4 separate regions of the Mus musculus genome follow, and all the other regions are reported to be linked to region 1. Evidence: microRNA targets listed by miRTarBase, many of them from high-throughput screens and not tested one by one. Region 1 holds a microRNA gene; each other region holds the end of a gene's coding sequence.
Evidence for each region. Region 1 holds the annotated microRNA mmu-miR-125b-5p (UCCCUGAGACCCUAACUUGUGA, at 4,115-4,136, shown strand). A microRNA usually pairs through its seed, bases 2 to 8, with sites in the 3' UTR of a target mRNA and lowers its output. Matches are read on the target gene's strand: a 7mer-m8 pairs with bases 2 to 8, a 7mer-A1 pairs with bases 2 to 7 and ends in A, and an 8mer does both.

Region 1 (8,135 bases):
CTAAATCCCTCAGTTAATATATTTTGTGCTTTCTGTGGAGTTAAGCCATGTATGCTTGTATGAATGTAAAGAAAGAAATACCATCGATTAAGGAGAAAAGTTGAAGGTGCCTTGTATCTTGTATCTTGTCCCAAGAGCTGCAAGTGAGATGTTCATGCACAAGGTCTACAGAGCGGGATATCAGTGGCCAGTAGCTGTAAGCACACACTCAATTATTAAAATCGTCAACCTGTTAGATCTGATAGCCATAGCAAAGTCATGACACTCATTTATCAAGAGCATTGTAGGTAACTATATGGGGGGACAAAGGCAGCCTAAAGAATTCACATATGTAAGAGAGTTAAAAAATCAAAATAAAGTCTGATCAAGGCAATAAGCTAGACGCAAAAACAGGACAAGTTCTGCAGGCTTCTTGCTGCCACTGGCAGACACTTGTGCTAAGCTAACCTGTGGGTGTCTGTCTTTATTTCAACTTTTCATCCGATTCTGGACTCGAGTCCTTTGCAGTCTCCAGACTCAGAAATCATGCTTCATATTCTCTGTGGCAATTAACAACCAGCATGGCGGCTCTGCTCCTTCCCATCTTTCTTTCTCTGGGTCTCTATTCCATCCATCTCTTTTTCTGCCTACCTCTCTCATCCTTTTCCTTCATGCCTTTTTTTTCTTTTTTTCTGAAAGTACGAACTCAACATCCTGTTTCCTTCCTGTGGACATTCTTTTCCTTTTTTTTTTTTTTTTTTTTCCTTTTTCCGCTGGTCTTTGTGCTTGAGATTTGCTGGCCCCCACCCCCACCCCAGCCCACCTCACCCCGCCCCACCCCTGTTTCCTTTTCCTTTTTTTTTTTTTTCTTTCAAATCAGAAGCCTGTAAGAGCTGATTTCTACTTGCATCTCTTTATGGATCCTGTGATGTTTTCTTTGGAACCTCAGCGAGCGGTTGGTTGTTCTCCGCAATTGTTGCCACAGATCTGTTGCCAAACTGCTACCTTCCTTGGTCGTGCGTGCCGCATTGCATGCTGGGACTGCCTATGAGAGTAAACTGACATATTTGCAGCACCAGCCAGCATTGGCTGGAGGATGGTGATAGTTCCTTCCCTTTTGTATGCTTTTTTGTATTCTGTAGAGTCACCAATAGCTAAGTCTGCCCGGCAAGTAATTCAGAAACACTGCTAGTGTAGAAAGGGAAGGTGGCAGTTTACCATACTGTCATCCCAGGGAGAGACTGGAGAACAAAGAAACTGGTGTCTTCTATGTTGTGAAACACCAGCACAATCATGGCCAAAGGTTTTGGCTCTTTAGTAATAGTGTACAGATGTACAGGGATCCACCTTTTATTTAAATCTACATATTCAATCACAATATGCTGAACCAGAACACTTTTACGATGTACATACCCACGAACAGTCAGGTATTATTATTTTTAAAAGTCTTTAAAATTAAAATATACTAATATCCAGCTAGTCGATCTCATTCCACCAAGTTAGCATTTCAACACAGTTTAAATCCCGTTGATGAGTCAGATCTTGGCAAGTCTTGTCTTTTAATTCCTATGAAATGAGAGCATAGCTAATAAAAACATGAAGCTATCACTTCGATTAAAATCCTAGCTTTTAGATTTTATTTATTTATTTATGTATTTATTTATTTGACTAGAAAGAATTGATCTCTACACACCCAGCCTTATGGGCGTATGGATGTACGGGTGTCTGCTGCTGGGTGGGGTCTTCACATAAAAACGGATAGACTTTCTTTTGCCCTTTCTTCAGTCAAAGGGGGAAAGAAAATGAAACCGCAGAATAAAGTCTAAGGCTGTTAAGAAACTGATGGTATTTTTTTTTTTCTGTGTCACGTGTGTGTGAGCCGGCCTGGCTGCTTCCTTAGGTGGGGACCCGGGCGAGACTCTGCCTGAGTCTGTCTCCACACTGCTCTTGCAGATCTGTCTTATTGATTAGCAGGGAAAAGGGTGGGGATTGGAGGGAAGGGAGGGGAGGACTAACTGGCGACTGGCTCATTGAAGCACAAGGCATTTTCTTCCGGGAAGATGTCAAACAGCTGAGAGACAGCCACAGAGGAAGTAGAAAAGGTGGAAAAATAAGGACAAAACGAAGGCATTTCTTAGGAGAGTCTCAAGGCTTTTTTTTCTTTTCTTTTTTAATTCGCTCTCTCCCTCTCTCTCTCTTTCTCCCCATTTCCTTCCATCATCTGACCTGCAGAAGCTAGAGTGACAGCGTCATGCAAATGCCGCAGTCCAGCAGGTCTGGGAGAGGGTGGATGCCAGACTGTGCGTTAATGTTAATGATGAGCGCAGTGAAAATACCAGCCGCCGCCACCCCTTGCACACAGAAGCGCTCTGAGTCAGCATCAGATGCTAGCCCGACTCTCTCCGTGTGTCTGTGTGCCTGTGCGCGCGCGCGTGCTCGCTCGGGCATCCGTGTCTAGCCGAGGGGAGGGGGTGGCGTGTGAGTGCGTGGAGGGTAAAAGCCAGTCAGTCAGTGAGAAGCAAAGGTACGTTGGAGAGCAACTAAAATCTGACTGATTTCCATCTTTGGAGCATCAGATGTATTCCCTAAGGAGGATGGGTCTCCGTGATGGGGGTGGTATAATTATGTTAATGTCATATTTATGGAGGGGTGAGATTTTTCATTCTAATAATTGGTTGAATGCTATGGTCAAAAATTGTAAAGCCATATTCAGTTTTAAGGAAAAAGCATGGACTTTTATCTAAGTACTGTTTTGTTTTATTTAATTTTATTTTTTTTCCTCTTTGCTTTTTGTGAATGCTGCTTTTTGGTTGTTTCTTTTGGTTTTGGTTTTATCTTTTTTTTTTCTTCTATAAAACTATTTATTTGGGGCCATAAGTGATTCAGTATGGGAAATCAAATGATAAACAGAAAGAGATCTTATATAATGATGCATTACATCACGGAACAGAATGCTTAAGTCTTACAAGGCAAAGTAAAGATCTGGGCAGGGGTGAAGGGGGGTGGTGGTTAGAAAGGGGTGTGGTACTAGGGTGGGGGAGGGGAACACTTAGCAAATATTTTGTTCAGCATAGCTTTCCTTGCAGCTTCCTGGAAATGGATGGTTCACCTGCCTAGAGGAAAACACTCTAAATCATTCCATTTCTCTCTCTCTCTCTCTCTCTCTCTCTCTCTCTCTCTCTCTCTCTCTCTCTCTCTCTCTCTCTCTCCCCCTCTCTCCTTTTCTAACCCCCCTGCTTTTCCCTTTTAAGATCAACCACTTCTGAAGAACCAGATTCCACTTCTGTGGCCAGGAGTTTTATGCTGTGCTAAGTGTGATTGTTTTGCCCTGCATTCTGTGCTACTAAACCTTGGATCATTCCTAAAGTCCAGATTCTGCTCTTTCACAACAAGGCGAAAAGATGGGAGAGAATTTGATGAATAGTCAGGATTGAGACTGTGTATTTTCAAAAGTATTGAACTATATAATGTAATTATTCAAAGTAAAGGATCTTTTTTTGTTTTCTTACTATGTTGCCAGGATTTTAAGTTAAAGCTTGTTAGGTGGTCTTGTTCAAATAACTATGAAGTGTGCATGAAAATATTTGCTGTCTGAATAGTTTGCATATTTAAAGAGAAAAATCAACATTAATAGGTATTAAATTATGACATATTCAAAGTTTTTGTTTAAATCTTATCTGTAATAATTTAAATGAGAGTTTGAAGTGTTGTATATCCTGGGCCCACAGTAACAGTTGTGATATATAAAACTTCAATAGAAGCAAAATATCAATTAGGGCCCCATTAACTGGCATATAATCCTTTTTTAGTGTAATAGAAGTGGGTGTTGCTGTAAAAATCTGCAAGGAGCATATTTTAACCCATTTTTGTCTCCTTCTTTGGATAGAATGGGGTGATTCTTAAATGTCCATTGTCTGCTTTGTTTTTCATGCCCCACATTACTGTAAGTTCTGATCTATAGGTGGCCGTCCTGATTATTCAGCTCATCTTTGACTTTCATGTGTTACTTATGTTTCTGTCTGTGTGTTTCAATTAGTATTTAGAAGATTAAAAATAAATGAACCCAACTCTAATTCCCAAGCTGTCCGTTTACCTGGAAGAAGAATTCTCCTGCATCACACGAGACTTTGCCTAGTCCCTGAGACCCTAACTTGTGAGGTATTTTAGTAACATCACAAGTCAGGTTCTTGGGACCTAGGCGGAGGGATACCAGCAGCTTGGGACCTTATTGATTCTCGGCATAAACCACCAGAACAAAAGAACAGGCATAGATTCTGCATAGGCGCAAAGAACAATGGTTTTCTTTCTAATCAGCAAGGGTTTCACCATGACAACACCCCCAAAATACAATCTTCAGAATCGGTACTCTAAAGATATGGCACAGTAGAATAGAAATAGCGTTTGTATTTACTGTGATTATCGTATAAAAGTGTTGTAAGAGATATGTACAAGAAGTAGAATTAAAACACAAGTTCTTTTTAAAAAAATAAACATCGCTTTGGGTGTGTTTTAAGATGAAGAAGATTCATTGTAAGAGTTGTTTATATTCATAAGTTTTTGTATGCGTAGAATTATATACATTAGTTATTTCAATAAATTATGCATGCTTCCATAGAACTGTGGCTTAGACTACGTCAAATGAGATTCTAATCATACTCGAGGCCTGAAAAAGAAACGATTTACAGTTTTCTTTATTGATCTTATTCTTGTTGATACTAATATGAGAGAATATTGTTTTATACATGGTAATTTTAGCCAGTGTTTCCTTAGTCTTTTGCCCACACATAACAGTATATATGTATGAACAACTGCCTTATTCTGAGATTCACAAAGTATATATTTAGGGAAAATACAGTGCTTTTGAATTTCTACATTTCACTTTGTGTGTGTTATAAAGCATTAGAGAATGCCTATGAACTCAGCTGCTCTTGTTCACATGTAAAACACGTCTGAGATGCAGGCTTTGATCAGAATTTTCATTACCAGAAGTAAATATTCCATCCATAGCCTGTGTGACTTATTAGTCAATGATACATTAAACATGTGTTTTTTTTGATCTATAATCAATAAATCTATTCCAAATATACAGTAACATTGCAGAAATTTAGGCTTAAAACAAGGTGGCTTTCATAACACAGGCAAGAGTGACTTTGGTGTTTTAACTCTGATGTTTCACCGTAAATTGTTTTCTCCATTAGTAAATAAACCTATGAATCTATTTTAGGATATCATGTGGAGTCTTTGTTCTGTTTTTGTTAAGGTTGTTACTATTGCTCATTACTTGAAATATCAAAAAAATGCAAAGCATCTTTATTGTTTCCTAAAAATAATATAATAGTATCATAAACACAGACTACGTTGAAGTTTGTGTTGATGTCGTATCAACACAAAGAATCTTTTTAGATTCTTTCCTGGCCTCACCCCTGTCATTTATCTAGAAGCTTTAAAATCTAAGTGTGTATATAAGCATGTTTTACGACTCCATGTGAAAGGAGTAAATATAAAGTCAGAACTTTTCTTTAATCACAAAGAACTCTATGTATGTGTATCTGTGAGCATCACACAAGCTTGATTCTATTTAACAGAAGCTTTACACAGATGATCAGAGAGGAGTGTGTTTACTAACACCTGTTTTATGATAATCATAAACGATATGCAAGTGTTACTTCATCAGTTGAAATCCACAATGAACTAGGGAATAATAGTAGTCAGCTATGATAGCAAAAAATTTAAATGTAAAGGTTTTCTGTTTATGCTATGATAATGAACAGTAGTATATATTAACTTAGATTTTATAGGAGAAAAAAATGCTAAAATAAATTTCACTTCTCCTGAACATCACATATATCATATATGATATACATCATGTATCTTGCAATTTTGAACATTCTCTGTGCAAAGCATGTGTTGTGTGAGAATACTACTCACAAACAAGTCTTATGCTATAAAGGTGTGTGTGTGTGTGTGTGTGTGTCTGTGTGTGTGTGTGTGTGTGTGTGTGTACATCAGACTTTGTTTCATAAGCTACTTTATGTTGTGTGTGAATGGATGTGACTATCTCTGCATTTCTCTCTCAGCTGTCACCAGATAATGCAGTTCTGTGGATTCATAATGTGACTTGGAAAACCAGATCATTCTAAGCTTAAAATAAACAAAAAGATAAACAACAAAGAGTGAGAAGATGATGTGGTTTGCATACAAAACGCAGTGATATTAGCAATCTGATGGCTTCTGGATTGGGAGAGCAGCCTGAGCCAGACGCATACATTAAGAGCTGTCTGCTGCCCATGTGAGCTTGCTCAGTGTATTGGAAATGAGGGATCACCTCTCCTCTGACACCAGCTTATTTGTACATTTTAATTTTGAAGTAGCAAGTCACTGTTCCAAGTTCATAGACTAACCCCTGCTTGTTTCTCTCTCTCTCTCTCTCTCTCTCTCTCTCTCTCTCTCTCTCTCTCTCTCTCTCTCTCTCTCTCTCTCTCTTATTGTTTGCTAAATTACTGTCAACTTCACATTCTTTTTAGAAATAAAAATCATTACTCAACTTAGCCATTTACTGCACACTAATGAAATAGTAGTTTTCCTTTGTCTCCGTTGTGTGCCTCTAACAATATTGTGATACCTGTGTTTTTAGGTTTAGATCTCTTTCAAGGGGAACTGGACTTATTTTTTTCTACATGACAATGTTTAAAGCATTTTAGAATCCATAAAGGAGACCATTTGGAATTTTGCCAGATCTTAATATGATTATATTTTCCTTTAGGATTCTCGAGATCAATATCACTCTCAGTTTAAAATTCCTAAACATTTCAGTCTTCCACTGACACAACAGAAGCGTAGACATATTCTTAAGTCATTTCATAATCTCCCAAGGAGGAATCTCCCAAGGAGTATCTCAGGGGAATTACAGTAAAAATTAATTATTAATGAAATTAGAAAAGGTGGGGCTTACCTTAAACTCATCTTCAAAATGGCATGCTGGTACACGTGCTAACCTTGAACGAATATATTTTAAATATGCAAATGACCTTGCAAGCTGTCATGTTTGGATGAGTTTATAGTATAGCAACATACAAAGGGGGGCTGAAGCTCAAGTTTCCTTGCCATTTTCACATGCAATGCAGCCTCCTTGTTCATAGGCAGCCAAGGAAGGCACAGTTTTGATGCCTGGATTCTTTTGTCTGATTTGTTAGTAGACTTTTAATTCAGTATTCAAATCCCACTGATCCCTAAGTGACTGCATCTGAAAAAAAGCAAGCAAGTTTCCAAATATAGATGAGTTTAAAAAAAAAAGAAAAAGAAAAAGAAAATCTTGAGAGTTTGTAAACATTTGAAAATAAAGTTTTTCCCTGTAGCTCTGCAAATACATAATTAGTAGGCTGAAATTCAGTTGCTATTTTTTAACCTATGCATCAGTTTCATGTTTAGTGTCCTTATCCATCAATGATCAAATAGTCATTAGTGTGTGTGTGTGTGTGTGTGTGTGTGTGTGTGTGTGTGTGTCTGTCTACAAGTCTGTATGTCTGTGTATCTCTGTTCATTTCCACAAAATATTTAATGAAAACAGCATACACACTGAACAAGCTTCCTGGTGTCACCCATACTGTGTTATTACTAAGTTAACTTCAGTTTTCACTGAGTGACACTTTTCCCCTGTCGGTTTGTATTAGACATATTATGTGGGAAGTTGAATACGATGTTGTACCTGTGGAAACTTTGAAAGCAGGTAAAGACTGAAGGTAATTGAGATTAATTTAAGATTAAATTGTTTCCTTATCAATCAACTGATTTCATGAATATTTTATGACAACCTCAAAATGAATAATCCTGGTAAGGTGGAAAATCTGCCCCACTGATATTACTAATTTGATTTTAAGTTTGTTCCCTTCATAGTGAATTACTAACCAAATAGAACAACACCAATCATGAATAGCATGTGCTTAGCCAAGTAAGTGAGAATTGTTGCCCTTGGGTCCTCCTTTGGTTAAATAGTGTTTGAGGAGCTTTTGTAGAAGCGGTGTTTTGTAATCTCTCTCTTCCCCTATTCTCTCTCATTGGTAACTGGTATCTGACAAGTTTGAGCAAGTGAATTTTCTGTGGAATTCTTTTTCCTTGTTTCTAAATTGGGTATTTTGTTTACTCTATGTCCAATTTGC
Region 2 (8,135 bases), not on the chromosome of region 1:
TAACCAAAAATAAATTAGTAGGCTGGGTTTGGTGTCCCAGCTTTTGGGGTCCCTTGTGCCACCCCGCATATCTATTCCTGGGTGAGAGACTAGAGGCAGGACCAGGAGTGCCACACCAGCTTTGACTATGTAATCAGTTCACAGCCGGATTGAGTAGCATAAAGCCCTGTTGTGTTTGACAACGATGACAATGATGACAACGATGATGATGACGACGACGACGACGACGACCAGTCTAGCTTTGTCCTAATAGAAAGTCACCACTATTAACACTATTAGTTCCATTCCAATGGCAAAGGAAGAAACTGAGGCAGGAGAGGAAGGAAAAATGAGGACATGGGAAGGGAAAGCCACCTAAACAGTGACAGATAAAGAGAATCTCATAAACAGGCAAACAGGATTACTTTAACCCCTGCACTAAGAGGCAGAGGCAGGTGGATTTCTATGAGTTCAAGGTCAGCCTGGTCTACATAGAGACCCTGTATCAAAAACAAAGAGAAAAAGATTAAGAATCCTGTTAAAGCTAGGCAGTGGTGGCGCATGCCTTTAATCCCAGCACTCAGGAGGCAGAGGCAAGTGGATTTCTGTGTTCGAGGCCAGCCTGGTCTACAAAGTGAGTTCCAGGACAGCCAGGGCTATACAGAGAAACCCTAACTCGAAAAACCAAAAAAGAAAAAAAAAAAAAAAAAGAATCCTGTTGAGGGCTGACATGCTCAGTGGATAGAGGCACCAGCTGTAGAAACTGCACACCATACTCTGATACCGAGTAATGGAAAGAAAGGTGTCCTTTGACTTCCACATGTCTTGATTGCATGTATGTCTCCCCTGTAAGTGATACATATAACAACTTTTTATTTGATCCTTTGAAGAATACAACTTTAAAATTATCGAAGTTATGTAAGTAGCTGTTGATGTGACATTTTTGTTAGCTTGGTTTTCTGAGACAGGGTTTCTCTGTGTAGCCCTGGCTGTCCTGGAACTCACTCTTGTAGACCAGGCTGGCCTCGAACTCAGAAATCCGCCTGCCTCTGCCTCCCAAGTGTTGGGATCAAAGGCGTGCACCTCCATTGCCCGGCTGGTGTGACATGTTAAAAGGACAGTTTCTCAGGGCTGGACAGATGGTTCAGAGGTTAAAGGCATTTGCTAATCTTGGAAAGAACTTCAGTTAGGTTCCCAGTACCCATGTTGGGCAGTTTAGAGCCAGTTCCAGGAGATCTGATGCCCTCTTCTACACCAACACACACACACACACACACACACACACACACTCATATGTGCTTAATTAAAAAAAAATCAGACCATAGTCGGGTGTGATGGCACATGCCTTTAATCCCAGCACTCAGTCCCAGCCGGCAGGAACACACAGATCTCTATGAGTTCAAGGCCAGGCTAGTGTACATCATTATACAGTCCACACAGTGAGGCCCTGTCTCAAAAGTGAGCACCATCACCGTCACCAACAGTGAAACAGCTGCGGATATAGCCTACACAGTTGAATGATGGTCTTAATTTTTTTTTTCTTTTGGTTTTTATTTTGTTGGTTTTGGTCTTTTGAGTCAGGGTTTCTTTGTGTAGCCTTGCCTCTATTGGAACTATCACAATAAACCAGGACTCCAACTCAGAGATCTGCCTGCCTCTGCATCTTGAGTGCTGGGATGAAAGTTTTGGGTCACCACCGCCAGACAACAGTAAAACATTTTTCTAGTATTCATGAGACCCTGTGTGGAATTCCCCAACATTGAGAAAAAAATCTTGGCAGAGCCTGGTGGGCCATGCCTTTAATCTAAGATCCTGTCTCCAAAATAAACAAACAAATAAAAATGTAAACAAAAAAAATCTGTTTCCAAGGCTGGACCTGTCTAAAGTCTCAATTCCCAGTACTTAGAGGTAGAGGCAAGAAGATAAAGAATTCAAGATCATTTTTGACACAGCAAGTTCAAGGCCACATTGTACCCTGTTCTCTCTCTCTCCTGATATATATATATATAAATTATAAATTTAAAGTCATACTTTCATAAATTCTTAAGTTTAACTTGCATATGCTGATGTCCTATTTAGAATTCTCATACATTTTGTATACTAACATATACCATTTGTGTAATGAAAGAGGTATAACTTGTCCTTTGATTGGTGTTCAGTTAGCCTGTGGGCCGACATACGAATTTGCTTGAACATCACCCACATCATTTACAAACTTAGCTAATTAGGTTCTTGTAAATATTTAAACTCTGTTTACAAATTTAACATACTTGATTTTATTTTCCAAGCACACATCCCTCACGGGACACATTTACAAGTCAAATGAGAAAAAGTTTTAGGCACTGAAACATTTTCAAAGAACTCTATCATTCGCTGTTTAGTTTATGTATACGTGGTGTGAGCTGCACGTGTGGAGGTCAGAGGGCAATTATGGAGAATCCTGTGGTTCCCAGGGGTGGGTCTCAGGGCATTGTGCTCTCCAGCGGGCGTCTTTACCGGCCCTAATTTTATTTTTTAATTACGTATACATGCGTGCTTGGTGGTCTGGTATGTGCACACAAAGCAGATGTCCTTGGAATCCAGAGAGAGGGCATCGGATCCAGTCGAGTTGGAACTAGAGACTGCTATAAGCTGCCTGTTGTGGGCGCTGGGAACTGAACTCAGATCTCTGCCAGAGCAGTCACTGCTCATAACTGCTGGGTCATCTCTGCAGCTACGGCCTTTTTGAAACAGGGACTCACACCCACCAAGCACTTGCATTAGTATCTAGTTCTTTACCTTTTCAGTCCTTGGGCTGGAATCCTCTACATTTTAAGTATATACAGTAGTGGGTGGATGTAGAGGACTCTGAGTAATTTGGGGGAAGGGAGGGCATTTTCCAATTAAACTGTTGGGATAGATACCCAATGACCTAAAATGTGCCCCCCCCCCTTTTTTTTGAGACGGGGCTCTCAGCGTAGCTTAGGCTGACCTCAAACTCGCTATGAAATCCAGATGTATTTGGTGTAAAGAAGGTACAATTTCAGGAGACCCACAAATGTTGAAGCGTAGGAGTGTGTGCTCTAGATTTAACCGCGGCACCTGCAGGGTCCATCTGCGCCCAGCAGCCTCTCAGCCTCTCAGCTTCTTTCTTACGCTGCCTCTCCTAACTTCAATCGCCCTCTGGTTTGGGCAGCTCCAGAAAGTAACTGGGGGCCAGGTTTGGGGTAACCTCATCTTGTTAGGTGTGGAGGGGGCCAGAGAAGTCAAAGCTCCAAACCTGGGGCTCACCTTCTTTGCAGATGGAGATGACTGACTCCTAACCTTTGGTTTCCAAATTCGAGAATGGCTAGAACAACTTAGCTCCCTGGCTCCGCCCACAAAGGGGCACGCATGCGCGCATGCGTGTGAAGCCTCACCGGCCACCTTGAACTCGGGCAGCCCACTCACCTTCAGACTGTGGTCTCAACGGGGAAGACCAGAGAGTTGCCTCGACGTTGTTCACCTAAATCCGTGGCGGGCATGTGCTCACGAGCCCGGCGACCCTCTCGTCCTGCCTCCAGGTAAAACCTCGAGCTAGTAACCTTATGGAAAGTTCTAGCTCGATGCTTTTGTTAACCACGTGACTCTAAAAAGGCACTTGCCTTTCTAGGAGGTGGGAGTCTAACGCACCCACCCATCACATATCATTCCAGTATCAAAAAGTTCTCAGTATACACCATAGTACACGGCGCCTTAAGTGTTAGCTTTGAGCTCAGCATGGCGGTTCCAAACATTTTTCCAGCCCCCAGTACCTGTGGGCACACAGAAGGCAGGGAGAGGTCAGAGCCAACCCAGCCCAGTGGAAGTGCAGCTTCACCAGGCCCCTTGGACCGGCAGGTCTTGTGATGGGCTGGGGAGGGTGTCAGAAACACAAACCGGGGTGCCCAGGGCTAAAGAGAAAAAGGAATCTTTGTGAATTTCGGAACGTTTTAACGCCCCCAGCTTGTTATTTTTATCCACCCCCACCCCCACCCCCGGCTGCCTCTCTGTAGGGGCTCCCATGCAACATCAAAACTCCTAGGATCAAAAAAGCCCAGCGTGTGTGTGTGTGTGTGTGTGTGTGTGTGTGTGTGTGTGTGTGTCTGTAGGGACATAGGGAATCTGGATCTGGAACATTATGTCCCAGGCAGAGTGTGAAAAGGGGCCTTAAGGGCCGGCGTGGGCTGTGGCTCCTGTAGAGAGGTAGCCTTTGGGGTCCCTGGAGTGGTGCACTTTCCCATTCAGCTCCCCAGCCAAGGGATCCCTGACTTTCCTTGCGGTCAGAAGCTGCCTGGACTACAAAGAAATAAGAGAGCCATGAGATGTTTAGCGGGCCTGGCAACGAGTTTGCTTTCCAGGTCCCAAATGGTAGGAGAGAACTGATTTACTGATTTCCACTCAGTGCCATCTGACTACACACACACACACACACACACACACACACACACACACACAGTGGCACGTGTAGCCCTACCATACGTGCACAGAAAAAAAAAAAAAAGGAATTACATGGGACTGGAGAGATGGCTCAGCAGTTAAGAGCACTGACTGCTCTTCCTGAGGTCCCTAGTTCAAATTCCAGCAACCACATGGTGGCTCACAACCATTTATAATGAGATCTGATGCCCTCTTCTGGTGTGTCTGAAGACAGCTAGTGTACTTACATTAAATAAATAAATAAGGCAGGCGTAGTAGTGCACACCTTTAATCCCAGCACTCGGGAGGCAGAGATAGGCAGATTTCTGAGTTCGAGGCCAGCCTGGTCTACAAAGTGAGCTCCAGGACAGCCAGGGCTATACAGAGAAACCCTGTCTCAAAAAACCTAAATAAATAAATAAATAACTGATGTAAGGGGTGAAGAGCCGGGGTCATTACAAAGGATTGGTTGGGATTTGTCCTGGTTTTCCAACCATCTGCAGATTCATAACCCAGGATCTTTTTTTTCTATTTTTTTTTAACTTCTCACTTTGGCCCCGCTCACTCCAGCCCAAAGATTTAAGAGCAGTCAGTGCTCTTAACTGCTGAGCCGTCTCTCCAGCCCCAACTGCAGCTTCATACTTCAGGATCTTGCGATCTCGGCATGAGAACCTATGTAGCGCGGAGCTGGGATTACAGCAGTGTGTCCAGCTTCCTGCAGTCTAACATAGGACAGTCAGTGGAGTGTAAAGATGCCAGGCGAGGTGTTGGGGGCATTGCACAGTTTATTTCCAGACACAGAGCACCCTCTGCCTCCCCCTCTTCCCCGATACATTTGGCTTAATCAAAACTTCTCACCCCTATGTTGTGCAAGACAGAGAAAAACACCCACCCCACCCAACCCGAGGAGGACCTAGGCAGACAAGGAGTGAAGGTGGGGTTCAAGTAATCATAGGTTCCGGGGAGGAACTGCACCCAGGTCCACAGTTGCTTCTGCTGGAGTAGTTCTCTAGTGTGGACACCTCCAAAGAGTGCCCACCCCCTCCCCTGTCATAGTGGCTGAGTCTGAGGCTCTGTCCGTCCGTCTGTCAGGAAGGCCTCCGCCCCAGCAGGCAGGCTCACCTGAGAGCCCTGGGGAGAAAGTGGCGTCTTCCCCTACCCACTAGGTTGGGAGCACGGGTCAGGAAGGACACAGGATTGGAGAGCCTGATGGATGTGTTCAGACAGCTGTGGTCTGAACTCTCACCTCTGCCCTCACTCTGGGCTCAGAATCCCTGAGAGTCCAGCCGCCAAGGCAAAAATGGATGGATTGGGGTAGGAGATAGGAGGGGAGGGGGTGTGGGGGGTAGGGTTGGGGAAATGGACGATGAGGTGGGGGTGAAGTAGGTCATGCAGTCTCCTACAGTTGGTCTTGGGAGCCAATGTAGGGAGGGCAAGGATTGTGCTCAGGTCTCTTCTCAAGGGCTGACCTTCCAAAGTAGCAGGAGTGTTGGGAACACAGGTTCGAACCACCAGTCCCCAAGCCCTCCATGTTCTGACTTTGGGCACAGTGGAGAAAAAGGGTGGATTGTATCTAAAGGGTAGTATAAAAACAAACCTAGTTTTCTGGGAATTAGTGGCCCAGCCTCTCCATCCCCCACCCACCCCCCCCAGTGCGTCAGTCAGTGCCTCTGAGACAGGATGGGGTTCAGTAGCACCATGCAATGTTGGGGTATTGATGACCCCTGGGCGGTGGCTCTCCAAATCAGGGGTGCCTGTTTGCTAAAGCGTCTTTGCCCTGGGGAGGAAGGAGAGGACTGTTGGGGTGGGGGGTAGGGGGTGGGGTAGGGAGAGAGGTTTAGTCCAGCCAGGCACGTGGCTGGGGCCCCAGTGGGGCTCCCCGGGAGTCATGATCTGAAGAATCTGTGTACCACGAATTGGCCCAACAGAACCACACCAAAAATCACCATTACGGTCAGGATGGGGTCTCTACGAAAATTCAGGGCTGCCACCTGTCAGGAAAAAAAAACAGGGTGGGTTATAGTGGCCTGGCCGGGCAGCCCCTGCAGCAGGGGGGTGGGGGGTGGGGGTAGGGGGTGTGATGGGGGGTGGGGGGTGGGACATCCCAAGCCCAGGCACTCACCCAACCGCCTCTCTGTGCGATCCATCTGGCGATGTAATGATGCAGTATGATATCAGCCAAAAAGCAGGTCACCTGGCCCAGGAAGCCGGTCAAACCACGCTGGTAGACGTACAGGGCCAGACGGTAGCCAAAGCCCAGGAGAGCCACCACGCGGCCCCAGCTGATGCCACTCTTAAATAGGCTGTGGGCAAAGAGTTTTTTCATAAGTCACGGAGAGCCTGCCTTGGGAGACCCGGTCCTTTCCTTCTTCCTCTACCCGACCTCCACCCCTCCACCACCAGATGGGAAGCTACACGGCTAAGCTGCCAGGACAGGTCAGAAAGTCTGCCTTGGCCTGGCTGCCCGTCAGGAAGAGCCTGGCTTTCTAGGAAAGGAGACAGCCTAGTGAGGGAGGGGTGATGTGATGAGCTGGCTGCATGGCGAGGGGGGGGGGGAGAAGGAAGGGTGGGGGGAGCTGAGAGGGAAGAGCGACCAGATGAGGTGACAGGGAGATTACCTGTGCATGTTGCTGCTGGCCTGGCAGCCCGAGGGACAGCAGAGAGAAAAGGACAGAAGAGATTACGACAGATCCCCAAATCACAGGGGACGGAGTGGGGCCTGAGGACAGGGACAGGATGTGCCACCTCTGTACTTAAACTTGCCGCCTGCTTCTACATCAACTACCACCTTGAGATCTACCCTGACGCTGACTCCCTGGTGTAAGGAAAGGACATTGCTCGGTGGCACATGATTGATCCTAGCACTTGCAAGGCCGAAGCTGGATGATAAGAGTTCAAGGCCAGCCAGGGCTACATGAGACTTAATGGGGCTGGAGAGCTGGCTCAGCGGTTAGCAATACTGGCTGCTCTTTCAGAAGACCTGGTTTCAATTCTCAGCACCCACATGGTGGCTCATGACGGTCTGTAAACTCTAGCTCCAGCCTTCTGGCCCCATTGGGCACTAGGCACGCAGGTTGGTGCGCACATATACATGCACGCTAAACACCCAGACACAGAAGATAAAGATCAGACAACAGAACTCAAGCCAACTTGGATGTGGCGTCAAAGCAGGGACACTGACTTCCGGTCCTTTCCCTGTTCCCTAGGTTTCACAGTGGTAGCCTATGGCAGGCTGGGATGCGGTATCAGGTGGCCTCTTAGAAGCCATCCAGTTGCAATTGGGCTGGCGGAAGTTGGTATGTTCACCCTGACACCATTCCTCAGCTGGGGAGCCCATCCTATGGAGCGTCTGAGTCTGCGTCATGCGTCTGCGGGGTGGAGGATGGGCTGGTACCTGGAGGCGATCTTGGTGAAGAGTTCGTAGGCATTCCCGGCTGTGGGCTGAAGCTGTTCTAGTAAATTCTGGAACTCTGTGTCGTAGCGCCGGTTAATATCATCTCCGATGAGAGCAAGCTGCCGACCCACCTGACCCAAGATGCTGTAGGGATGAGCATCAGTCAGAGAGCTGGAATTCTGCACTGGGAACCGGGCTCAGGGCAGAGGGGCGCCTCCATGGGGTGGGGGCAGACTTTCCACCTAGCCCTGTCTGAAGGTCTGATAGGGCTCCCAGGACTTGTACCCCAAGGCTGGAGCTTACCTGTTGGGTTCCAGGGGCAAGTTGTCCATCTCGGGGTTGGCAG
Region 3 (7,957 bases), not on the chromosome of region 1:
TTATGGATCTCCAGTCCCCTCTACCACCTATGGTCTCCATGTTTCTTTCTTCATCTCAAGTATAGCTCTTCTGTGTGAATTCTTTGAGAACTGTACTTGAAAACTCAGGACAGAGTAAGAAAAGTTCTGCTATCAGCAGTTTTTCTCCCTGCACCCACAAAACACTACAGTTTTTGTAAGAAAACACATTTCCCAAGTGCCCTCCCTGAACTGGGTCTGAGGTTCGCCTCACAAACCCTCAATGTTGCAAGCTACCTGTTATTTCACAGACCAAACCAGGAAGCTGGGGCCCAGAGAGGTTAATTAAGGTTAGAGTTAGGAAGTGGTTAAGTGGGGATTCAGACACATGGGTGGCATTCACAGCAGTGTATCATGCAAGTCCCTGGGAGAGCAACAGCTATGCTGACTATAAAGGACAGGCAGAAGTGAAATTTCAAAGATGTGCAGAAGCAACATCTTCTAGCCTGGGGTGATCTGCCTCCAGACTAGCACAACAGCCTATGACAACTTCGTCTGCACCACTGTGGCCCTACTGTGACACCCCTCCCACATCACTGTCTCCTATCCCCTGACTACTGTCACCAGCTGGTACAAACCTTCAAGCAATTATTCCTGAAGAGAGGAAAAGAGGATGTATTGATTTCACAGTTCTGTATTTATATAGTGTGGAAAATGAATTCTATAAAATCACTGCCTGATGGCAATGGTGACAAGGTCCTTGAGAGAGCTGGAAGTCACTGACGAGGGGAAGGGAGCCTTGAGCAGGAGTCGATGCTCAACCCTGGGCCCTGCTCAGGTGCTGAGAACCAGGCACACCTTAAGACTAGCCACAGGATCTAGCTGGGAAGCCAGATGGAGAAGAGATCCACTCTGGGAAGGACAGACACCTGAACCCCTGGAGGCTAAGGCGGATGACTGGGTCTCGCCACCATTGTCCCTCTGCTAAGCCTTTCTTTACCTACCTTGTTTTGTGTAACCATCACAAAGTATGCAGTTATGAAGAGGTCAAGTCCAGGCACTTGTCATTTCTCCAAAGTCACACAGAATGGCGGACCCAGTGTGCATTTGTCATTTCTCAACCTCGCCCCTGCACCATACTACACACTATATACTCAAACAGGATAAAAAAACCTGGTCCACACACACAGCGATTCTGGGTTAGTGTACAGAGCTTCCCTAAAGACAGGACTGACCCTGATGACCAAGTGAACAGGTCTTAAGCAAAAAGAATCAGTAAATTTGGCTGGTCCAATAGGGAAGATAGCCAAGGCCCGAGTTACATAAAAGAAGTGACTGCAGGTGACTCTAAATGCCCTGCTGCTCAGAGACACCATAAGACAAAGGGAGGCAGCCAGGAGATCAGTGGGATCCCATTGTGGGGGGTGCGGGGAACCCCACGCACCCAAGTAAATTTCAGGCTGAAGCCTGAGTAACCCAGTTAGCGGGCTAGGCTGAACATTGAGGACAGCAGGGCACTTTAAATGGCCCAATCCAATCTATCTGCCCTTCACAATGAACGCAGCCCAGCAACCAAACGGATTGCCAGATTTCTGTGACTAACCAAAGGGTTTTCTTCTTTTCGTGTTACTACACCTAGTCTTTTTCTCTGGCACTCTCTGGACTAAGTATAAGAGAAAGCTGGGTACAAACATGCCTTCTACCTTTTCTGCAACCCAAGGAGCTACATGTCTTCCAGTTATCAGTTCAGGCTGTAGCGTTCCATAGAAGGCCTACTCTACTGTGAATATCCAAGCTGAGTGAAGTGCTTGTCCAGGGCATCCTTAACTTCCCTACTGAGCCAAGAGCACCCAGTGCAAGGGACTAGCACAGTGCCTGGACAGAAGCACTTAACAGTTAGTCAACACCCACCCATTTTCTTCAATTGGAATTCCCTATGCCCTCGAGCAATCTTAACACATTTGTCATTTAAACATGCTGAATGTCATAAAAGTGAGCCACAGGGCCTGAGCTGTCACTCTCTTCAGAGGAATTTAGAAGGGAGTGGCGACAGGTGCCAGTGACAGTTGGGAGACAGGCATGAGCAGGGGTAGGTGCTCTGTATGTGGGAGGCAGTAGCTTCCCCGGGTGGGATGAGGGGCCACTGAGCTCCCACCATGTGTCAGTGAGGGGCTCTGACACCAGGCGGCAGTGAGCAGGAGCCTGGCTGACCGGGCAGAAGAGGCATGCATGGGTTTAGAGAGGCTGAGTCGCTGGAAATCGTACACATCACTGAAGCCAAGTTTTTTAAATAAGTCACATACTATAAACCACCACCACCACAGCCGTTTATTAAGTGCTTGCCAGGCACTGTGCTAAAGCTTTACAGACATTATTTCAGTTCATCCAGCAACCCTGAGGTAGATATTTTCAAACCCCCACCCCCACAAGTCATTATAGGAAAGGAAACCGAGACTCGGGTTCAATCAATCAACCAAGGTCAAACCCAGCTGGTAAGTAGCAAGCTAGAAATGTACCAAAGGGACCAGACCCCAGACACATGCTTTTAAACACTAGACTGTCTTCCCTTGAAAATTAAGGACTTGCATTCCTCCCCGAAATGAGAACAGACTTTAGGTGAAGAGGGCAGGCAGTTTTAGAGTAACTTCTTGAACCAACTACTATACTCAGTCTCTTGAGGCATGGAGAGTCATCGGTGAGAAGCTGACCACCGGGCCCTTTCTCTTGTCCACCACCCCAGCCTTCTGCATGGGAGGCCTCCGCTCTCGCACCACACCACACCACTCAACGTGCTGCTTCCCTTCTAGCAAGCTCAGGAACGAAGGGGTCTGTCAAACTTGGTGACACTGAGCCAAAGACCTGAGAGAAATTAGGAGGCATTCAGAAAATGCCCCTCATACCTGAACTGCTGGACCCTAAGGCACAAGGACACACTCATGGAAAACAGAGCTCGCTCCTGCCACCCTGCTTTCCCAAGCCTGGCCTCTTTCTCCAAGTCTCTCACCAAGTCCTTCACCTCTCCAAGTTCCTCCCCAGTTGTCTCCGAGGCTTCGCTAACCACAGGCCCATGGGCCTTGAGGACACCAGTTTCTGAGCCTCTGTTCCTCCAGAAACGTCCCCAAAGTGCTCAATGGGGCTCCAGTCAGGACCCTATGGGTCTATAATTAAACAGAGCTGGCTGAAGAAAAGGTAGGAAGGATGGCCATGGTAAGACAACGGCCCAGCATGGAAAGACTGAGGAATGGTAAGTGGACAGAGCAGACGGACATAGCAACTCAGCAGGGACACAGCAACAGAGCTACCTGAGGTCAGAAGTGAAGCAGGGGCAGGGACAGACCCTGTGGAGAGGGATCCTCCAGCCAGGCTGCCCAGCACTTGGAGCCAGAGAGCGTCTTTGAGGAAAAGAGCCTTGGTAAAGAGGCCACTGAGAGCCTAGTTAGGAGAAAGCTCAAGGATCCTCTTAAAGATGGGTCAAGAGGACACCAAGAGAAACAGGAACTGGAAAGGCCTGGCCTCTACAACCCTGAGCTATCCCCATCCCCACCCCTGGCCATGTAGGAAAAACTGGTCAGAGGGTCACTGCTGGTAGCCCTTGCTAAATTCTGCACCAAGTTTTGAAGGATGAAAGACAACAGAGGTAGGGAACTTACCAAGGACTGAGATAGCACCATCCTTGAGAAGTTCACATTATGAAAGGAGACAGAGGAGCCCCCTCCAAACCTTGGGGGGGCTGGGGTCTAAGGAACACACTAATGGTGAGGACCACTACTTGGTACAGACTAATATTCTTAGGCGTTTGAAGGGATGGGGGTGAGTGGTGAGGTAACTTGCAAACACTGGAAGATCTACGCTGGACTCTCCATTTTTCAATAGCCACATCACTGGGTCACTGAGCCAGGAACCTCAGTGTTCCCCACAGCAATGGCTCGCTGATCCAGAGTAAGACAACGCTGCTGAGAGGCCGAGTCTCCTCCCAGACAGCCTGTGCTGGACCAGCTCTTCCTCACACCCCTCCTTGCACATACCTAGGCTCTGCTACTCTTCATACGGTTTCCTTTCCAACTTCCACCAGTGTCTGGGGTTTGATGAAGCTCAGGCTTCCCACACAAGCTCAAGTGCTTCGAAGTGACAGATCCCTGTCACAGGTGGGGCGCAACAGTGCTGACTACTACAGAGATCCTTCCTGTAACTGAGCACACGCAGTAACCAGCCTACCTACCTTCAACTGCGAGGGCTCAGGCAGAAAGATGTCTGTTTGCAAACCCACCTCAAGCTGGGCCTGGACTCCAGTCTATGAAGGCATACAAACTCCACCCACACTTGTGGGAACTCCAAAAGGGTACCTGGCCCACAAGATTCTGGGGTCAGAAATAGGGAGTGTCTCCCCATACTAGGTTGGCCCAATAGTAAGGAGCCTTCCCCTCTCTGTCTCCTAACAGATTCAGATTAATGATGGCTCATTCCTAATTGTCAAATTTCTTTTCCTTCATCCTGTGTCTAATCACCAGTGACAGAAACCATTACGCAAATGAGAGCAGACGACTTCCCCCAACTGTTCGCGTTGGTAAAAACCTTGTAATTTAGAGCTCTGATTTGTAGGGGAAGCTGGTCTCCCCCAGGCATCCTGGGCATCTGCTCAACTGATGCCCAGAACAGCCCCTCCTCCACCCCATAACTCTAACCCCCCAGCAAATATTTGACTTCACAAAACAGTAGTTTTCACTGTACTGCTGGTATAAACACGAGAGCCTGCAAGATGGCTGACCCCTGGACAAGCCCAGGTCTCCACCTTCCTTGGCACGTCTGACTCCCAGGCTGTTGGCTAGAATGGGTACACAATAGTGATGCCTGCTCTGCTGCAAGTACAACTGGAGCCTCAACAGCCCTAGGGTTGAGACCCTAGCCTAGGTGAGTCCCTGCTTGCCATCCCCAGGAGGAAGTGGCCCAGCAGAATATGAATCGGGTTACCAGAGCTTCCTCTCAGCATGCAGAGGTGTGGTGAGAGGAGCTACAGGACCTACAGCACCCCTTTCCCCCGCAGGGCCGAAGCTCACTCTTCTGCTTCTTCCCAGAACCCTTAGCTTGTTAAGATGGCTTTCTAGGCAGCTTTTCCATGTCTCTAGCTGAACCCCCAAAGCCTTTCACCCTTCCACACCCTCTTGCCTGAGTCTACCTGCACACTCTCTAGGGAACAAGGCTTGAGGTGAGGTAGAGAACCAACAGCATTTGGAAGAAATGGAGGAGCAGGGAGTAGTGGGTTTATAGCTAAATGGCATTAGGTTTGCTCTTGACTACCACGCAGCACTGTGAGGGACAGAGCTAGAAACAACAGGTACACATCAGGTGTCTAAGACCAGGAACAGCCATGACATCATCCCAGCATCAGGGCCAATCCTGTGATGGTGCCTAAGCTCACCTTCTCTCTCGCTGCCCTCAGCCACCCTAGGTCAGACCTGTGAGAGCAGAGTTATACTGAAGGGTCAACCGAGCAGATCCAGACTCCCTGCCACACATCCCAGACACCTTTGAGGGCAGAGCCAGGACCATAGATCTGCGGAGAATGAAAATCCGCCACGGTGGCCAAACTAATACCACTCTGCCTCCCTCTTCTGCTGCATCCCTCGTTCCCAAAAGAGATGGAGGCATGCGTTTGCCGCGATCACACTGCCCAGCACGGGCTGTATTTAAAGAGCCATACTCAAGAAGGTACCAAGTCTGCGCAACCACACTGCAGAGCCCAGAGTGGGGGCTAGAGCTCCCGCCCCTAAACGCACACGGGTGCACAAGCATTCGCCTGCATCTGTTCAGTCCATGGGGCGCTGTAAGCTGAGCTTCAGGGCTAAGACCCACAGCTTGAACACGGGAGGTCAAATCTACAGGGAAGGGGACTAAAAGGTGGCAAAGAAAAGAATAAAATCAGACTTCCAACTCCAATTTTAGAGAAAAAAGGTTGACAGAGAAGGAAGGGACTTGAGGTAAGTGGACACGGGGCCACCACTCTGCCAAGCTGCTGGGGCCCCATTCCCTCTTAACAGATACAAATGATTGCGCTCTGTGTTGTGTAACACAGAGCTATAAGCTGCAGCCCCGAGGAGGGCTCCCATAAACAGCTACCAACAGAAAAGTAAATTCTATCTCCAAGCTCTCCCAGCTCTACTCCAGCTCACATGCGACGCTTTGTTGGGTCTGGCAGAGGCGCTGGCTCTAAGAGGCAAGAGGACATTTTTTTTCCCCTTGCCCTGAGGTGGATGAAAGGTATTGAGTTAGCTGCCTAAGTCTGACCCCATTTCATCTACTCAGCCAGGAAGCTCAGCAGGAGCAGGGATGTGGTTCAGACAGGGAAAGACACAGGACTGGGAGGCTTGAGCCAGTCAGCTTTAGGTAGGCTGCAGTAAGATCTGACCAAGACGGGATGGCTAAAATCCGAGTGTAAAAGCTCTAGGCTGAGTCAGGCAGTATCTGGGGTTCACGCTGTACTGCCACACTGGACAATGTTAGCAGTTGAGAACCTTAGTAAGCAAGAAGGATGGCAAGTGTGATCACACATGCATACAAGTGTGCAGATGTGTACACACACATGCAGAGGTTCATACCCCTCGAGCCCAAAAAAGTCAGAGCTAGAATCCCTCATTGCAGCACAGGGACAGGAGCTGGTACTGAAGAGAACGGCTGCAAATGCCTGTATTTGGACATATGCACAATCCTGGTTTCAGGTCCCCAAGTTTTCCTTCTATGTATGGCTTAAGCATGTAGTTCTCAACTGGAATCTTATCTAATCCTCTTCCACTAGAAGGCTACCTCCCAAAGATAAGCCTCCTTCTCAATGTCCCCATTAGGGCCCCAGCAGTTATTGCCACCTGGTTTGTAGCCTGACTATGCTGCAAAAACTGGCAGAAGGCAGACTCATGTGCAGAGTCATTCTGGCACCACAGCCCAGATGTTGTAGGGACACAGGAGCATCTCTCCTCCCAGGCTGAGGCACTGAGGCTTCAGGAGACAGGAGCTGAGAGCCAGAAGTGACATCCTGACCCAGGAAGAGGGAACAAGGAACAGATACATGCATGTGTGTGTATACACACATGCATATGCACACATGTACACACACACACACACCCTGAGGTTAACAGACTAACACAGACATGATTACAACCAGAAGCTGGGACTCCACACACTAAATGCAGGACTTCAGGGGGGCAGAGGGAAGGTTCTGGGGCTCAAGAGGCAAGGGTGAGAAACCTTTCCAAATGGGAGTGGAGTCAACTACCCTGCCTTGCCTCAGACACCTGCCTCCAGGGCCATGGCAAGAGTCCAGTCCATTAAGTGCAGCGTGCAATACTAGTGCTTGGAGTGTCCTGTCCTCATCAACGAAGCATGTGGACAGGATAGCAGTCACCTGACAGGAGGCCTTGACCTCTGGCAGGTTAGTTGTAACGGCCTTTAATCATGGTGTTCAACAAAGGCCCCACCTGTAAAGAGATATGAGAAGCCAATCAGAACTGCCTATCTCCCGATCCTGGCGTAGGACTGGGTGTACCTAGAGACATGCAATTTTCAGCTAAGGGCAGGGACAAATGCTCTTCAGTTCTTGTAAGTTTTCTAATCAACTTTCCTGAATGTCAACTTAATATTCTATGACAGTGACCCTTTGGAGGTCCAGTTTCTTTTCCTCCCCTTTTATAATACCCCGTGTATCTGTAAGCAGCACCCATCAAACAGGAAATGGTCTGAGGAGCCAATAACCTCCAAACACCGAAAAGTGTGTCTGCGGGCTTCTCCAATGAGCCTGAAGAATCTTAAATGCTTCTCCATCCTCAACAAAAGGCCACCTGCAGTTAGTGCTAGTGCTCTCAACCCCACAGGCACCTCTGATGCTGAGACGAACCACAGGCAGGAGGTAAGGCAAGTAAAATGCACACCTCCCTCTTTTACCAATGGACCGTAATGTACCTGGGGATGAAGCAGGACTCAGCACTACCTAGAGCAGCCCTGGCCCAGCTGG
Region 4 (8,135 bases), not on the chromosome of region 1:
GCAGAGCCTTACTACACAGCTCATGCTGGCCTCAAACTCATGATCCTCCTGCCTCAGCCTTCCTGGGGTTAGAGGCATGTGCCTACCAGGCAGAGCGCAGAGTTCTCAATCTACCTAGCACCTGCCTCCCTGCCCCCAAAATCAGGACCCACCAAGAGATGAATTGCTTAGTTTCCTGGGGGGTCACAGCGCAGCCCTCAAATGGAGCCTTCTCCATCAGGCCAAGATGAGGTTAAAAGGCCAGAACCCACCAGAAGAAAGGAAGCAGCAGTGGCAGCTGGTGAGTCACACAGCCACTTACCCTCTGGACAGACAGCTGTTACTTTCCTTCCGTGGGAAACTAAAGGACAGGAATATAGAGCCTGTATAAATACAGACACACACACAGCCATTTACAAGTGTGTATGTGTATGTGTGTGTGATGGTGTGAATGTAGAGGTCAGATGACAAACTGTGGGAGTTGGTTCTCTTGCTCTACCAGGTCCTGGGAACTCACTCTCTTCATCAAGCATCTTACAGACATGCTGTCCGACCGACCCTAGTCTGTTTTGTTCTGTTTTCTTCCTAAAAGAAAAACACTAGCAACACCAGTTTAGCACGGGTGCTCATGCGAAGTCCCGGGACAGCCAGACCCCTGAGTCCCCCTGCCCCCACCAGGAGTGGTACTTTCATACCTAATCCAGATGGAAAAAAATCACACGGACACCAAGTTTTCATGGGACAACCCTCTGTTTATTTGATTAAACAAAAATAAAATAAGCTGCATAGGGACACTTTTAAAGTCCAAAGAGACACCGGCTTTGTTTTAAGGCTGCAGTAGCTGATACAGCATCTCCTTGCTACTCCCCCAGCCTTCTCTGTGGACCACAGAGATACATTCAGAAGCCGCTTAGCTCACAGGAGGTTTGGAACGCTCTTCCACTGGCTCTTCACCCGCTCTCGTTGCCCGTCATGCCTGCGGCTGGCAATAGTAACATTTAAGGTTTTAAAGGTAAAAGCCCAACAAGGGGAGGAAGGGGCTTGCAAAAATAAAATAAAAAAAAAAAAAAAATACACTTTTGCCTTGAGGTTTAGGGGGAAATCCCCTTAGCCACCCAGTGCCGTGACAAGCTCCGAGAAATGCCACCACAATCCCAAAAGGGGCAGAGACACCGAGGGCTCTGCTGCCAGGGGAGGCGGTGTGTTCCTTCAATCAGCTTGTCCAGCGGAAGACACTTAACTTAGTCATCCTGGCATCAGGCAATGCCTCTGCGGTGTGCATTCACTTCTCTTAAACAAAAAGACCGAAGTGGGCCGTGTATTCTACAGTTACATAAAAGTTAAAGCTGCTGCTTCTCTTTTTTGGCTGACCAGGCATGAGAGCGCTAATGGACTGTATCAAACAAGATCCATTAAAACAAAACCGAACAACCAACCCTCCCACCCACAACTACTACACGTAACATGCTAGTTAAACATCGCTAAACCACCCACCCTCACCGGCAGACGTTAAGGGAAAAGGGGGAAAGACATTTATCACCCTAAAAAAACAAGAGAGCCCCACCCATACATGTGAGCAGTCTCCCTCTAAAGGAGAGCTACAGACTGCTAGGAGCACCAAGAACCAAAGCTGGTTACAGCACAAGTAAACGCGTTGCTGCCAGGGGCGCCAACATTCAGCCAGTGTGCTCTGAGATAGGTAAGGTACGACCTGAGCTCCTGAGTTAATACAATCATTAAAAGGGGTCTAAGACCAATGCAGATACAAAACAAACATTTAGAACCATTACTGGTTAAATGATGATGGAAAAACAGCCGTCCAGGCTGGATTGCTGACCCGTAACACCAGTTTTAAAAATAGACATTATTGAGGTATTTCTTCATGGTGACATTTATTTATAAACCCAAAACCCGATTAGTCCCGTGGTCTGCAGGATGCGCTCTCTCATCCAGGTAGACCAGAAGGTTACTGGGGAGGGACAAACAGGGAGAAAGTTAACAGTCCTGATAATGTGCTTCTCAATTTATCAAGTATTTAACAAACAAGAACAAAGGGAGGAGAGGGGGAACAACAAGTGTCAAAGTGTTGCCTTTGGTAGGAAGAACAAATCAAAACAAAAAGCAATACACACGTCACCGGTCACTGTAGACGGGCTACACCGCCGTGACGGGAGATTCTGCTGGGCACAGACAGCTTCAAATACAATCATGAAGTCAGAGACTCTCATTCCCTTCAAATACCTCATGCTTCCCACTAGACCTGTAGAGTTCCCACTAAAAGGGCACGCCTACAGACGCTCCTAACAGATAAAACGGCTTTCTCTTGAAGAGAAGAGAGACCTAAAGGCCTTTAATGGTGGAAGGTTCTCCATCCGGTCAGAGAAGCAGCTCCTACCGCTGTCTGCGGAACAGGATTTGTGGCAGGGAAAGCCAGACTGGCTGAGAACTACTTGGGTGAACGACGACACTGACCAGACAGCTCTTATTCAAGGTCAAACGTTTGTCTAAGAAATCAATCCTGCATCCCTGAACATCCCTGCATCTAGAGAGGGTCTCCCACATCCACACCCTCCCCACTGGATTAATACTAGCCCTTTTAAGACCCATCCGGTGCCGACGTGAGGTAGACAACTTTTTGCCAAAATTGAGGTAGAAAATCCATACTAAACAAAATCAGTGTGGTTAGGGGCGGTGTCCTGCCCTGTGACCCTGGCTCACACGAAGCCAGAGAAAGCCCCAGTCCTATGTAACTGTACACACATGATAGCATCATTTTCATACAGCCCCAGACTGTCAGAACCTCACTAGGAGAGATGTTCTAAATAAATACATTTTGGCACCACTGCGTGTGTGTGTATATTACACACACAGACACACACACAGACACACACACACGCGCACACACACGTCTTAAACAACAGGGAAAACAAGCCTAGAACTTTGGCATTCCTTTTAATACCTACCAGAACACAGCAACCTTAGAATCTTCCAAACCCAAGAAGACACACAGACAAGACAGTAATTGTGCTGCTTCAAGCTTAAAAGACTTCCCAACTCAAATGATTAAGCTTTGGCTTAACTACACCGAGACACTCTGGACCATCCAAAGTGTCTTCATCCCGGCAGCCTCTATGGCCCAACACTGTCCAGTTCTGTTTAGGGTACCCTTGTGTGCTTCCCCAGGTAAGTTAGACTTAACAAGGGTATTGATTGGAGGAAGTTTAGTGCACTAGGGGAACAGCCTAGACTACTAGGCTCAAACCAAGATAAGGAGTTACCTGCCAGCCATAACGGAGTACAGGTTTGGAGACTTCTCATGAACAAAAGTGATAGATTGGTGATGACCTTCAGATGATTATAGTTTTGGAATGTTAGGCAGGTGGCAACCAGGTGGTTAATACTCAAACTTAAGAAACTTCACTTCCAATGGGAATCTCCTGGTACCCACCCTCACCAGCTCCTGCCAGCTCCTGCCAGTTCCTGCCAGCCCCTGCCACCTGACCAGGGACCGCTACCCGTCAGTCGCTCACCGCAGTGACAGAAGGTTTCCGGCCAGCCAGCACCCACGGTGTCTCCTTCCTGAATCTCTTTCCTGTCGTACCTCAGAACTGGCTGCAGGTGCTCACCAAACATGGCTGGTGTCATGATATGGATCAGTCCATATCAAGGTACACTCTCCAAAGTGCTTAGCACCAATTCCCCCACCGGCTAGGAGTCCAATCTCAGGCGGCCACAATAAGCCACTTGTTTTAAAAACAAAAGTTCTCCAACTATGATCACAATTCCTTAGAAGCCAGCCCTTACACTGATCTGGATATAGAAAGCCACAGACCTCTAAGAACACATCTGCTGTGCTCTAAGCCCACACTGGTCTATCCATGTACTGATCAAGACCCAACCACAAGATGGGAACCTGGGCCGAGTTATCAGATCCTAAGTAAAATGTCAAGTATTTTGTTAGTCACCAGAAAAAAAGTTCTCACTGAACAGTCAGTCAGTCAATATTCCTGCCACAGGAGAGCTGTGAGGAGGAACACTGAACATGACTTCAATTTAGCATTGAAAATCGGCTTTCCCCAGCCACAATTAAAATCAGGTTTCTGAGAAGGTTGTCAAGATTCATTTGTTCAATTAGTGTCATTAAGAATGTAAAGCTAGTTCTATTGAGTGTTTAAAGGCAGTTTAAGATTGGGGGGGGGGGGGAGCGGGGGGGGGGCGGGGTGAGGCCTCCTGGGTTGTCCTGTTCTACAAAATTTTTAAAAATCAGTTTAACGCTTAAGTGACATAATAAAGGCTAAAGGGATATATAAACTGGGGAAGGACCCACTATTAAATTTTAAAAGGAGCTTGTAACCCTCTTTCACATCCCGAGAAACATGGAGATCAGCAGTTGAAGCTACCTTCGGGATTCCTTGATTGTGTACTATTCTCCCTGCTGAGACGGCCCCCCGCCCCCCAGCACCCGCCGCCACACTCAGATCACCCCGAAATCCTGAAATTCAAGTCATGTGAATGTGAAGGAACGTCGTAGCTCACACAGGCAAACTGAGCATCCCAAAGCAATTCGACTGAGCCCTTATCCTGTCCCCACCGCCTCTTCCTCTGTGGAGTTCCTGCCGTGCAATGGGGGTCAGAAACTGGGTTTTAGATCTATGTTGGGCAGTCTTCTGTCCTCTTTCAAATCTGGTCTGAGCTCAGTAGTGAGAATACAGAGAACCAGAGAACCGGGATGGGCCCTCATTCTCAGAGGTGAATGTCAAGAAGGCCCACTCTGTGGCTTACAATACATCAGACTTCAATGGGATGGGAGCCACAGGCCCCCAAGTTTCTATTCTTTGGTACAGGTTTTTTTCTTTTTTTTTTTTCTTTTTTTAAATAAAATAAAATTAAAAAAAAAAAAAGACATATACTGTGTCCTACACTTCCTGTTGGGTGGTTTGGTTTGTAAATCCTTTACATTCAAAGGCCTTTGGGGGAGGAACGGGGCTTTGTGTTAACCTTGAGGTCTGCCTCCACTCAGACTTAGGGAAGGTTCCTGAGAAACAGACCTGAGCCAAGGGTTAGGGAGTGAGGTGCTCCCACCAGTCAGACAATCTTCTACATTCCCTGAACTTCCAAAGCAGGAAAAAACATTGTGCTTCTCAAATCAAAGCTATCCCTTTGCCTACCACACCCTCACACATAGAGACGAGGTCCCCCGCCCTCCTGAACAGTCCCTGATGTGGGGGTGCCTCACTTCTCCAGCACCCCCCACTTCTGTGGCACCCTGGTCCACATCTGAAAAGCCCCTCTCTCTCTGAGAACAAGGTTAACTTATTTTCTTATACCTAAGTCTTTATAACAAACAACAAAAACACAGACACGTAACCTTTGCGAACACTTTCAACCTAGAGTCCTGAGCTAAATCGAGTTTCTTAGCAAACTGGGAAGAAATTTGCTTGGGATGTCTTGTGTCAAGTCCAGCTTTTCTCCTCAAGCAAAGATGGCTTTGAAACACAAACATGCACGCGTGTGCACACACACACTCCCACACACCCACCCTTCTTTACCAGATACAAAGATGAGACACCCGAAAATATGAATGGTCTGCTTTTCTAGGCTAGCAAGCCACAGCCATATCTCCTAGGGATGAGATGTCAGACACACTGAGGTAAACAGAGAAAAGCCCTGTTGCATCGATAAAAAAGAAAAGAGCAAACCACACACAACCTAACCCCACATAAACACAGTATTCTCAAGAACACAAATACACTACAATTATGAATTTTAAATCCTATCTTTCCAACATCTTATACTTCTCTTTTTTACTTAGTAGTTTTTGGGTTTCCTTGGCTCAATCTACAAAATGCATGCACCCCACCATATGCTTCCAGTGCCCTCAAGGTTGCAGGACCGCTGTCCTGTGCCTCCTAGGCCTTCAGGAGGGAAGAGGATGTGAGCCAAGAGGCTTGCCAGAGAGGGAAATGCAAAGAGTTGAGGTAGATAGAAATTATCACTTCACAGGCTCAAGCCCTGCACAGAGGAGAATTACATTCATCTGTAAAAAAAAAAAAAAAAAAAAAATTTAAGCTGAGGTAGGACTTAGGCAATGTTGTACTTTTGTTCTTAAAAAAAAAAAAATAATAAAAATAAAGGGGGGGAAAAAGAAAAAGAAATATCCCTGAGACGATTTCTTCTTTGAAATTCAAAAATGAGAGACACACACATGCACACCCTAAACACAGAAAACCCCAGAAGACACAATTAGAAGATGAGGATTCGATTGTTGCCAAAGTCCACCACGACGATCAATCCATCCGGGGTGACCGCGATACCTGAGGGGCGGTCCATCTGCCCGAAGCCACTCCCTTGAGCACCAAACTTGCACAGGAAGCTGCCATTGGCCTCAAACATCTGCACGCGGTGATTTCTGGAATCGGCTACGATGATTCTCCCTTCCTGGTCCACAGCCACACCCTGTGGTCGCAGGAACTGCCCATTGCCCGAGCCCTCCGAACCCAAGAAGCGGGCAGATTGGCAATCAGGGTGAATAACCAGAAGCCGGTGGTTGTTGAAGTCGGTGACTACCAGGTGACCTTCATTGTTGAAAGCCACGCCCCGTGGAGAGTCGAAGTGCTTCCAGAGAGATCCCTCGAAGCCGTACTTGTTCAGGAAGACCCCGTCCGGTCCGAACAACTGGATGCGATGATTCCGGGTGTCTGAAACGAGGATCTTGCCCTCAGAATTCACTGCTACATCCCACGGGTAGTTAAACTGCCCGTTCTTGGTGCCTTTCTCACCAAACTTAAGAAGGAACTGGCCCTCGAAGGTGAAGATCTGAATGCGATGATTGTCTTTGTCGGCCACTATGATCCTGCGGGAGGCGTCACAAGCCACCCCAGCCGGTCGGTCAAACTGCCCAGGACGAGACCCAAGGGTACCAAACTTGTGGTGGAAGGAACCACAGGGCTTAAACACCTGGATTCTGTTATTGCTTCGGTCAGCCACTATGATGAAACCCTCCTTATCAACACTCACGCCCCAGGGCCTGCAGAGCTTGCCCTCCCCGTCACCTTCACTGCCGAAGCTCAGCCCGGGGAGCCCGATGCCCACGTAGCTGCGGCCCGACTTGACCACGACCTTGAAGGGGCTGTTCTCTATATGCTGATTGTACAATGTCACCGACACCAAGTGCTCACCCTCAAGCTGGGGCCTGTAGCTCACTATGTAAGTACCATTCTGCTGGTCGCTCACTTCTGCACCAAACAGGTTTCCGTCGGGGCCGAGGACCACAACTGACATCAGGTCACCTCCCGAATGGCGGGGCTCACCATCGTGGTCGTAGCCCATGACAGTGAAAGAGGCCACCTTCCCCTGAAGGGCACGCTTGATGCCATCTCCTGTAGCCTTCGTGAGCGGGGCGAAGGCCCCGCTGCTGACAAAGCCAATAGACTTGAGGGCGAGGTACAGGGCCTGGTCAGGGGGCGTGAACATAATGCGGTCATCTTCTTGGGGCTGCAGGAGGCCTCGGATGGTCTTGAGCTCCTGCACCTGGGCCAGCATCCGGTCTCGGGCCAGCAGGATGTCCAGGGCGCGGCCCTCTTCCAGGACCTGCTGCACGGCGCTGATGGTGCTCTCCAGCTTGCTGAGACTCTGCCGCAGCTTCTCCACCTGCAGGAACAGAGACTTCGCCTTCACCTGCCGGATCTTCTCCACCTGAGGAGGGAGGAAAGAGACGCTTAGAACCAAGCACAGAGAGCAGAGTGTGGGGAACCCACGGCGATCTCGAGTGGAGGTGGAGATGGGAGATTATCACCTGACAAACAGAACAATTCCTTCCCTCCTTTCTCTTTTCTGCATTCAAACCCTAACAGACCCATCTGAGGTAGGCTGCCCCAGCCCCTGAGGTAAAAAGACCAGCTCACACACTTTGCTGAGGGGGAACCATCACCTCTTAGTGCTCTTAAGCTGAGAGCTACAGAAAACCGACTATGGACACAGGGGACGACTTTTCTGAGGTCTGGGCTTAAAAATTAAAGAAATTTAATTAAAAAAAAAGATTTATTTATTTATTTTATGTGTTTGAGTACATGCGTCTTCAGACACACCAGAAGAGGGCATCTGATCCCATTAGAGAAGGCTATGAGCCACCATGTGGTTGCTGGGTCTTGAACTCA

Region 2: the mRNA of Bak1 is a reported target of mmu-miR-125b-5p. Seed matches in the 3' UTR shown: 8mer at 5,667-5,674.
Region 3: miRTarBase lists Hif1an as a target of mmu-miR-125b-5p. Seed matches in the 3' UTR shown: 7mer-m8 at 7,071-7,077, 7mer-m8 at 6,196-6,202, 7mer-m8 at 3,480-3,486 and 7mer-m8 at 2,351-2,357.
Region 4: the mRNA of Trim71 is a reported target of mmu-miR-125b-5p. Seed matches in the 3' UTR shown: 8mer at 6,137-6,144, 7mer-A1 at 5,193-5,199 and 7mer-A1 at 5,083-5,089.

The regions. Positions count from the first base shown.
Region 1 is chr16:77,642,165-77,650,299 of GRCm38, forward strand. It overlaps Mir125b-2 (microRNA 125b-2), which reads left to right and starts at 4,109; the gene lies at 4,109-4,179.
Region 2 is chr17:27,014,650-27,022,784 of GRCm38, forward strand. Bak1 (BCL2-antagonist/killer 1) reads right to left here. Exons shown (of 6, transcript NM_007523.3): 3 at 8,093-8,135; 4 at 7,790-7,933; 5 at 6,518-6,698; 6 at 5,163-6,386. The coding sequence ends at 6,282. It also overlaps a transcript of Ggnbp1 not described here. Among named protein-coding and RNA genes, the nearest start is that of Bak1, 9.9 kb to the right of the region's middle.
Region 3 is chr19:44,570,581-44,578,537 of GRCm38, reverse strand. Hif1an (hypoxia-inducible factor 1, alpha subunit inhibitor) reads right to left here. Exons shown (of 8, transcript NM_176958.3): 8 at 2,264-7,424. The coding sequence ends at 7,380. Among named protein-coding and RNA genes, the nearest start is that of Hif1an, 12 kb to the right of the region's middle.
Region 4 is chr9:114,506,423-114,514,557 of GRCm38, forward strand. Trim71 (tripartite motif-containing 71) reads right to left here. Exons shown (of 4, transcript NM_001042503.2): 4 at 4,846-7,674. The coding sequence ends at 6,223. Among named protein-coding and RNA genes, the nearest start is that of Ccr4, 14 kb to the left of the region's middle.